Danio rerio: one gene and its partner. The protein of the gene in region 2 purifies or fractionates together with the protein of the main gene of each other region. This does not show direct contact. Links are inferred from orthologs where the notes say so. Each region holds a gene or a part of one and is shown on either strand. Other genes may lie near its edges.

The links. Proteins that work in one complex are often made in the same cells at the same time.
Region 1: the proteins of polh (region 2) and rad18 purify together in Homo sapiens (affinity purification with western blotting; 7 studies listed by BioGRID, with this or other methods). This does not show direct contact. The link is inferred for Danio rerio from reciprocal best matches to the Homo sapiens genes POLH and RAD18.

Annotation. Positions count from the first base shown.
Region 1 is NC_133181.1:44,354,406-44,359,698, reverse strand, and holds the start of rad18 (E3 ubiquitin-protein ligase RAD18), read right to left. Parts: upstream 3,489-5,293; 5' UTR 3,356-3,488; coding exon 3,305-3,355; intron 2,980-3,304; coding exon 2,901-2,979; intron 2,785-2,900; coding exon 2,723-2,784; intron 2,498-2,722; coding exon 2,427-2,497; intron 1-2,426. UniProt on the Homo sapiens protein: E3 ubiquitin-protein ligase involved in postreplication repair of UV-damaged DNA. Postreplication repair functions in gap-filling of a daughter strand on replication of damaged DNA.
Region 2 is NC_133188.1:718,532-723,225, reverse strand, and holds part of polh (DNA polymerase eta), read left to right. Parts: intron 1-608; coding exon 609-820; intron 821-1,516; coding exon 1,517-1,689; intron 1,690-3,701; coding exon 3,702-3,805; intron 3,806-3,992; coding exon 3,993-4,112; exon of another isoform or gene 4,113-4,694. UniProt on the Homo sapiens protein: DNA polymerase specifically involved in the DNA repair by translesion synthesis (TLS). Due to low processivity on both damaged and normal DNA, cooperates with the heterotetrameric (REV3L, REV7, POLD2 and POLD3) POLZ complex for complete bypass of DNA lesions.

The sequences.
Region 1 (5,293 bases), on a different chromosome or scaffold from region 2:
ATTAGATAATAATATGAATTAGTAAATTATTATTATTAATAATAACAACAACAACAATAAAAAACAATTTAATAATAAGAACAACATATACACACACACACACACACACACACACACACACACACACACTTTTGTGAGGTAAAAAAATAAATAGATAAAAGGGGGCCCTTGGATTTGCTACAGCCCAATATGTTCTTAATCCGGCCCTGTCTCCAGCAGCAAAACACCATATTCATCAAAAGCTACTGGTCAGCCCACGATTCAGGAAACTTTTTTAAAAAAAATTCGCTTTTGCGCCAACATCCAAGCATGTTTTAGACCTGAACAGTGCAGCGGCTTACTCCAAGGGAAAAAAAAATCAAAATATCCCTTTTCAAGTTGTAAATGAATCTGTATTTTTGAAACTAATGAAAATAGCAGAAGTCCATGATTTATTTTAACTTTTTAGCCTGGCATGTTTACTTTAACGAAACATTTTAAATGTTTCTGAAAATAAAAAGTTGTGTTTAATGGAAAAAACAGTTGTTGTTGTTGTTGTTTTTACCCACACAATAAAAAAAATTAAGTCATAATACCGCAAAACTGCAATATTTTTATCAAAGGTTTTCATACTGTACAAATTATTCCACTCCACTCTCCTTTCACTCTGCCTACACACTGATAATTTCAGGGCTTAGGCCATTTAAAATCCAAATACACACGAAGAAGAAACCTAGAAAAACCCCAAATTGATTAACAGAAGAAGATTTAACTGCTTTCATCTTTCAACTTGACTAATAAACACATGATTGCTGAATCATCACACAGAAGGATTTAATTAACTTAAATACAGGGACACTGGAGCATTTTAAAGCCACAATTCATCAGCGGATCGCTCGTGTATCAGCTTATAGACAAACCAGCTGATCGACATGACTTTGAAACACTGCAGTGTCCCTGTATCTGTATTTACACTCAGTAAAGAGCGGTGAATTTGGTGAACTGATGACCTTCACTGCCAATGACAGTCCTATCTGTTAAGCACATGAACACAATGGCAAATCAGCTCTGTTTAAGAATGTGCTCGGTAGACAGGAAATGGAAGTTTTTAAAGCTTATCTATTGATTAGTAGCGAATTCCAGTATCATGACAACCCTAATTACATCTGATCTTTCAGATGTAGCACCATTTTCAACAATGGCCAATACCGCTTTATAAAATCAACTTCAATTTTGAACATGATTTTGCATAGTTTGTCAGAGCACTAGGATTCAGTGTAGCTGGTGCTGCTCCATTAAAGCATGTGTTAGAGAGTTTTACTAGAATCTGCTTTACTCACAAAATTCGCAAGAATATTGCCTTCATTTAAATTGCCCGACCTCAATCAGCAGGTATCAATACAATAGTCTTTATATATATATATATATATATATATATATATATATATATATATATATATATATATATATATATATATATATATATATATATATATATATATATAAAACAAGGACTGTAAAACAAAGCAATCATTTTCATATAAATTGTGGTGGTCACTTTCCTCTTTCCACACAAAAAATGACTGACAGACTAGCAGTGAGGGGTGTGTGTAGTACAAATAGTGGAGATATGTAAAATGGACAAGGTCCTATTGATGTTTTCAGCATGTATGCAATCTGTGTGTATTATATAGTGCAGATGTATTACATGCACAAGCTACTTCGTACACTAAAATACAGTAACAATTTTATACTGTTTTACAGTAGTCTATCAGACTTTTTATTTAGGAAACAGCACTGAAAGCAACAGCCAATTATTATTTGCATTCAATCTGCTTAAATTATAATAAACAATTTACAAGCATAGACCTAAATACAAATGAATTACTTTTTATTCACATTTATATTTTCTCAGGAATTTGGTGCAGAGATATGATAATCAGAATAACTCTCCACAGTCTTCTCTGCATAACTACAAATATTATAAATATTTGTTTAAGCTACAAACGTAGTTTACTAGTGCATTCATTTTCTAAGCTTACTTGAAACGTTTACCCTGCAACAGACCCTAAAGCATATGCAAATTAAAAATAAAGTTTTACAGTAACTATTTTACTGCAGCTGCACAATTATTATACGTTATGTACTTTGTAATAATTATATTGTGAAGCCTTAAGGATCATCATGTCCTAGTGTGCACTTAGAATCAGAGGACACATTTCATAACTTTCCCAAAAGCTCCTAAAGTGTAAGAAAATAACAAATAGAAGTAGAAACCCAGGGACTACAATATGTGTCTTGGCTCCTAGAATATATATATATATATATATATATATATATATATATATATATATATATATATATATATATATATATATATATATATATATTCAAAATTCCAAACTCTATTAATAAACACTCATTTAAACAACAAATACAAGCTTTACCTTGCCGTCTGGAAGCTCTGAACTAAGTCGTCTAATAATCTGTTGTTCCTGAGGTCTTGTTCTGTTGATGGCTGCAAGCAGAGTTAAAGATTAATGAAACTGTTTTATAAAAATCATTATTTAAAAAAACTTAATTAAACTACTGTGATAACAGCAAAGTTTTCGATATGAAATGAATGCATCAGCTTTTTACCAGTGCCATGTTAAGCCCTGACTTCACATTTTACACTAAACTTGTAAAGTATTCGACAAGAAAATTATGTATTATTATTGAATTATTTTGACATGACACTTACCGAGTTACACACAGGACACAACAGCTTATAGGAGAGAAACTTCCGAATGCACAGAGAACAAACTGTTGGAAAAAGCAAAAAGAAATATGGTCAATTGCATATTGCTCATGGGTAGATAAATAAATAAACCCTCATAACGTTACATGTTATAAACTGTGTGTAACCGTTTTATACGTACAGTTGTGTGAACACTGGGTCATCATGGAGATGTTGAGAAACTCAAAGCAGATGGGACATCGGAGGAGAGTATCCATAGGCTGATACACACAAAAATATACAAGATCTGATGCGATTTCACGATTTATACTATCTGAACAGCGTTACCGCTGGAAATACGTAATGTTATGACAGATTCTTACTGATGTAACGTTACACAAACATGCAAAGTAGTTAATTCCGATCAATGTCAGTAAATTAACAGCCATAAACACAATAGTCAAATACATCGTGAATAGACTTGTTGTGCTTTATCAAGAACGGAACAGTTATCTTAAGTTATATGCTTGTGACCCACTGGTGTACTGGTAGCATAAATTCATATTTTTATCTAACGTTAAATAAAAGTAGAAAAACTGAACGTACTTTGAGACATGACAGGTTCGGCGGTAAGTCCACTTCATTTAGCTGAGCCATTCTCAACAAACTCCTCTGCTGTTTTTAGTGTTATTTGGATAATATTGGGACGCTAATAAACACTAGCTCCCTAGATAGCAACAATAAACTCCCGCGCGCTCCACTGAACACTTCCTACAACAGCGTCACTTCCGGTTAAATCGTAAACATTTACCCATTTATCAAAAATTCCGATTAGGGGTTCGCTTTTATTGTGCTGCTTCTGTTTTATACACTTAGTTTTAATAATGCTTTAGTAATAATTCGATATATATGTTCTTAGTTAATTAAGTTCAAACTGAAAAGTTTTTATTATATGATGATGAGAAGCATTTTCTTGTTAATCTAACTGAAATGAGATAAAAGAAGCATACTTTACAAGGATAGTTTACTCCAAAAATGACCTTATAATTTTTTCTCCCTTGGTGTAAAAGTTTTAAACCTTTACATGTTTTACACGTTTCTTGCTTCTGTAGAACACAAAATAAGATATTTTGAAGAATGCTGGTTTCTAGGACCCATTTACTTCCATTTAGATTTTCTTTTCAGCTTAGTCCCTTTATTAATCTTGGGTCGCCACGGGGGAATGAACCGCCCATTTACTTCCATAGTAGGAAAAATACTGTAGAAGCATGCACGTGGCCAGCCTGGTAAAAAGGTGGTTCTTTTTCCTCAAAAAGTGTATCGGTTTGCAATTATATGCCTCATTTTCTCAGTTTAAATATGTAATTCAAAATACTGCTTTTTAGTGCCATTTTAAGCACTATTCAGATTTAACTGGAAAAGGGTGGTCATCATAACTGCACCTTTTGACTATTTTAGCCAAATAATATTTAAATCTATTTATATTTTTTAAATATTTAAATTCTTTTTTTTTTTTTTTTGGTGCTTCACGTCTTTTCATTGGTCTTTTTTTCAAGAAGTACAAGAAGTATACTATTTAAAATAAAAGTCACTTGTAAAATGTGTCTAAAATACAGTAGTGAAAAATGACTTCTTTTTCATCAGATCATATGTTTTTTCGCACAGCTGGATGTTGTAGCTACTCATGAAAAATATTTGTTAGCATTGGCCCAAACTGATTACCTGAAGTCACACCGAAGCATCTTTACGCCGTTCGGCTTTGTCTGAAAGCATTTTTGATGGATTTTTTTTACCATAATTAGATTAGGTTCAACTTTATTACACATGTACAATTACAAAGCAATGAAATGCAGTTTAGGTCTAACCAGGATGGGGCAGATGTGCCTGCTGGAAAGCAGAACAGAAAACAATCTGTGAGCAAGGTGAGAGGAGTCCTTAGCGCAGACAGTGTTTCTTCTGGTGTCCTCAACGGCTGAAAGTTGGGACCCTGTGATGCGTTGGGCAAAGCAGCTTCTATACCAGACTGTGATACAGTTGTGGTCAGGTTGCTCTTTATTGCGCAGCGATAGAAGATCACCAAGACAGCTGATGACAGCTGGTTCTTCTTAAATTACCTTAAGAAAAAAAGGCGCTGGTGAGCCTTCTTGACCAGGCTGGAGGCGTTGGTGGTCCAGGACAGGTCCTTTGAAATGTGGGTCCCCAGGAACTTGAAGGATGAAACAGACTCAATGGCCATCCCATTGATGTGAATAGGATCATGTGACCCTACTTGTCCCTTCCTGAAGTCCACAAAGAGCTCCTTGGTCTTGCTGGTGTTGAGGAGCAAATTATTGTGTGTACACCAAGTGGCCAGTTGCTGTATTTCCTCCATGTAGACAGTTTCATCATTGTGGTTAATGAGACTGATCACTGTGGTGTCATCTGCAAACTTGATGATGGTGTTGGATTCATTTATGGGCCTGCGATCGTGGGTAAAAAAAGGGAGTAGAGGAAGAGGCTGTGGTATACCTGTGTTGAGATTGACGGTGGTGGAGAACATGTCTAACATTCTGAGTTCTGTTAGTCAGAAAGTCAATAACCCAATTGCAGAAGACG
Region 2 (4,694 bases):
CAAATAAAATACATTTAAATTGTGACTGGGATCCTGTTTATGAATCTTTTATTTAATATTTATCATTTATTCATTTTCCTTCGGCTTAGTCCCCTTATTCATCAGGGGTCTCCACAGCGGAATGAACCACCAACTATCCCTGCATATTGTTTATGGAGCCCATGCCCTTCCAGCAGCAACCCACTTGGAAACACCTATACACACTTATTCGCACACACACACACACACACACACACACACACACACACACACACACACACACACACAAACACAAACACAAACAAACACAAACAAACACACACAAACACACAAACACACACACACAAACACACTCACACACACACACTCATACACTCATACACTATGGCCACATTAATTCATCAGTTCCCCTATAGTGTTTGGACTGTGGGGGAAACCGGAGCACCCAGAGGAAGCCCACGCCAACACTTGGAGAACATGCAAACTCCACACAGAAACTCCAACTGACCCAGCTGGGACTCGAACCAGTGACCTTAGTGCTAACCACTGTGCCACCCCTATTTAATATGTATCCCTAACATAGTATTTTTTGGACCTTGTGTTTGTGTGCGCGTGTGTGTGTGTTTCAGCTACAGGGAGGCGAGTGTGGAGGTGATCGAGGTGATGTCCCGCTTCGCTGTGATCGAGAGAGCCAGCATTGACGAGGCCTATATGGACCTGACGGCCAGCGTTCAGGAGCGCCTGAAGAACACCAGTGTGCAGGACATCACGGCGCAGCAGCTGAAGAACACACACATTCAGGGTTTCCCTACACAGCAGGAGAACACACACCTGGACAGAGGTCAGCCCTGTTCTCACCTGGTATTAAAGAGACAGTTCACCCAAAAATGTAAACACAGGGTCAGTTTTACCCTTCACTATTGTTGGTACACTATATAGAGTTCGCCAAAGGGTCCAGATGGTCTAGTATTTCTGGTAGAAATGTGAAGTGTAGAGATGTCCCTACTCTAACTGCTAATATTGCCCACCATTAGGGATGTAACGCTATTGTAAATACCGTCATTTTGATACCGTTACGTCCCCACCCTCCATGTGAATTCAATTAGAACTACAAATTCAGGGGAAAAGTGTAAACAAACTACAAAAATGGCGGATGCTCGAGACCAACTGTCCAGTAGAGAGTAAACCAGGGGTGTCCAGACTCGGTTCTGGAGGGCCGGTGTCCTGCGAAATTTAGTTCCAACCCCAATCAGACACACCTGGGCTAGCTCTTACTAGGCTTTCTAGAAACATCCGTGCAGGTGTGTTGAGGCAAGTTGGAGCTAAAATCTGCAGGACACCGGCCCTCCAGGACCGAGATTGGACACCCCTGGAGTAAACCTATAGAGAGGCTTCAAGAGATGTTTGAATGACTTAATTAAGATCTAGTCAAGTGGAAAATCTTTAAATCTTGTTTTCTGTGTAATGTAATGGTACTTTTACTTGAGTGAGCTGTTTCCTCATCCTCTTCCCACCGCTGTGTGTTGTGTTTGTGCAGATGCGCAGCGGGCCGCAGGTCTGCAGCAGTGGCTGGATCTTCTGTCCTCCAGCACTGAATCTTCACCTGCGGATCTGCGTCTGGCCGTCGGGGCTCTGATAGTGGAGCAGATGAGGGCTGCTGTGGAGGAACACACCGGGTTTCGCTGCTCCGCCGGTATCTCACACAACAAGGTGGATATAAGAGAATTTCTACGTCTCTTTCTACATTTACAGTTAGCGGGTGTTCAGTCGTGGTCATGAAGCGCAAAATAAGCTATATAAACCCAAACCCAGCATGATTCCCTTATTGTATCAAGCTGTTTAAAATAATTGCAATTATGGCCTTTAATTGTCTGATACATACAGAAATCTAATACATGACTCAATATGAACATATACTGTATATCAAATTATATGTGCGTATTTGTTGTTGTAATTATTGCAAATGAACATGCAAACTCGGATTTGTTTGCAGCATTTTGAAATATGTGTGCATATATAACAGGGCTCGAAATTGCGACCATTTTGGTCGCATATGCGCCCGAAAATTAATCTATGCGACCTCATAGTATATTTGGGCGCATTAGTGCGACTGCTGATAATGGTTGTAGTGCGACCTGTTTTGATTTTTTTGTAAAAACGTGCTGAATCGCTCTTCCCTGCCGCTATATTGGTTCATATTAGCTGTCAATCCCTCAAGGTATTCCGCTGTCAGATGACAGGGAAGGAGCTTGATGACCACGGGAAATGCAAACGGCTGAAGAGTAAAAACTTAAAGCACACAGGTTTGCAAACCCCACCTAAAGTTGAGGCGCAGATGAGAGCGATCATGACACGTCACGTGGTGAATAATGATCCGCTAGCTGAGATCAATCGATTACGCGCTTCTTGGAGAAGGCGCCCGAATCTCCATGCTTTGCATTCACTGCGTGTTCAGCGCAAATGTCCGCTAAAAGTCAAATCTAATACTGTTCATATCATCGCCAAAGAAGCTCGCCTTTACTAAGTTTACACTGAAACTGCGTCTCATAACAAAGAGCGGTATTGCGCCGATGGTTAGTCTAGATGGTTAGATCTAGTCTCATATTATTTACTGTCATCATGACATCTAAATATTCTTCAAGACACTTCTATACAGCTTAAAGTGACATGTAAAGGCTTCACTAGGGTAATTAGGGTAACTAGGCAAGTCATTGTATAATGATGGTTTGTTCTGTAGACGATCTAGAAAAAATATAGCTTACAGGGGATAATAATATTGAGTTGAAAATGGTGTTTAAAAAAATAAAAATGCTTTTACTCTAGCTGAAATGAAACAAATAAAACTTTCTGCAGAAGAAAAAATATTATCAGACATACTGTGAACATTTCCTTGCTCTGTTAAACATCATTTGGGAAATATTAAAAAACAAAAAAAATGCAATGGTGAGCTAATAATTCTGACCTCAACTGTATATGTGTGTGTGTGTGTGTGTGTGTGTGTGTGTGTGTGTGTGTTTAAAATGCAAACATCAATCCACACCTGCATGATAAATATGTAATTTACAAATTTCATTATCTCATTTGTCATCCTTTTAATTACTAAGGAATTTTTACAACTTTTTAAGATTAATTGACTTGTATTGAGAATATAAGTTGACACTTTGCACCTTGAAATATGAAAGTAATTTATTGCATTCTCTATATGTTAAAAACAATCACAACAAACTGGCCACACACACACACGTTTGTTTTTGTACTGTTTTATACTGTTCAAACCGTATATTGTATTGCCCTCACCCCACCCCACCCCTAATCATCACAGGAGTCAGTGTGCAGCTTTACTCTCTGATTAAACTCATCCTGTGTGATTTATAAGCTTTTTGAGTAATGAGGACGTCACCAATGTCCCCATATTTCACCTGCTTTTTGTAATACCTGTGTCATACCCATGTCATTATACAGATTTGTGTCCTGATATGTCACAAAAACACACACACATAAACACACACACAGAAATTCTGCTAAAGTTGAAACCGTTGGCTAGTATCTGTTGCTTCATTCTCCACAGTGATTTGTTGACGTCGCTGCCTGCTGTTTGACATGTTTATACTACATTTATTCCCAGTTATAATCAGTCTCTCCATCTTAAATGTGAAGACTGATGAACTGTATGTTGGTTTTTGTTTTCATTGAACTCTAATGTTTCTGGGTTTGTCTCTCAGGTGTTGGCCAAGCTGGCATGCGGACTAAACAAACCCAATCGCCAAACCGTGTTGCCGCTGAGCTCCGTTCCTCAACTCTTCAGCACTCTTCCCATCAGCAAAATGTAAGTGATCGCTAATCATGTCAGTAAAATTCCTCTTCGAATGACTTCAGTGACTTGAACAGTACTGCCTCGCTTTATTTCTCAGTGAATAAGTATTTAATTATAGTCAGTGGTTTTAGATAAGCACACCCAGCACTGCCTGTACCTCATGAACACGTGTGTTTCCACATGTGTATGTTGTGCTCAGTCGTAATCTGGGAGGGAAGCTGGGCTCGTCCATCACGGAGACTCTGAGTGTGGAGAACATGGGAGATCTGACCCGGTTCAGCAGAGCCCAGCTGGAGCAGCACTTCGGGGACAAGACCGGGTGAGCAAACACACACGGAGAGAAGATAAATAAAGCCATGTACAGATCTGAAATCAGCTGATATTCATTCAGACACTCATCATATGCAGCTTTATCATGGACTTAATGAGTTTGACAACTTGAACTGGACAGAATATTCAATTAAGCAGGCGAGGTTATTTCTGCTGCAGGTTTCACACACACACATGACTGACTCAAAGTGCTTTACAAGAAAAAGAAGATCAAATACACGTGTAGATCAGAACAACAGAATAAACATCATTAAACTTGATGAAGCAGATTTAAAAGGAAAACAGAAGAAAAAAAAGACATTAGTGAATCATGTGTGTGTGTTTCTGTGTGTGTGTGTGTGCGTGCGTGTGTGTGTGTGTGTGTGTGTGTTGTGTGTGTGTGTGTGCGTGCGTGTGTGTGTGTGCGTGCGTGTGTGTGTGTGTGTGTGTGTTGTGTGTGTGTGTGTGTGCGCGTGTTTGTGTGTGTCTGTCTGTGTGTATGTGTGCGTGCATGCATGCGTGTTTGTGTGCGTGTGTGTGTGCGTGCGTGTTTGTGTGTGTGCGTGCGTGTGTGCGTGCGTGTCTGTGTTTC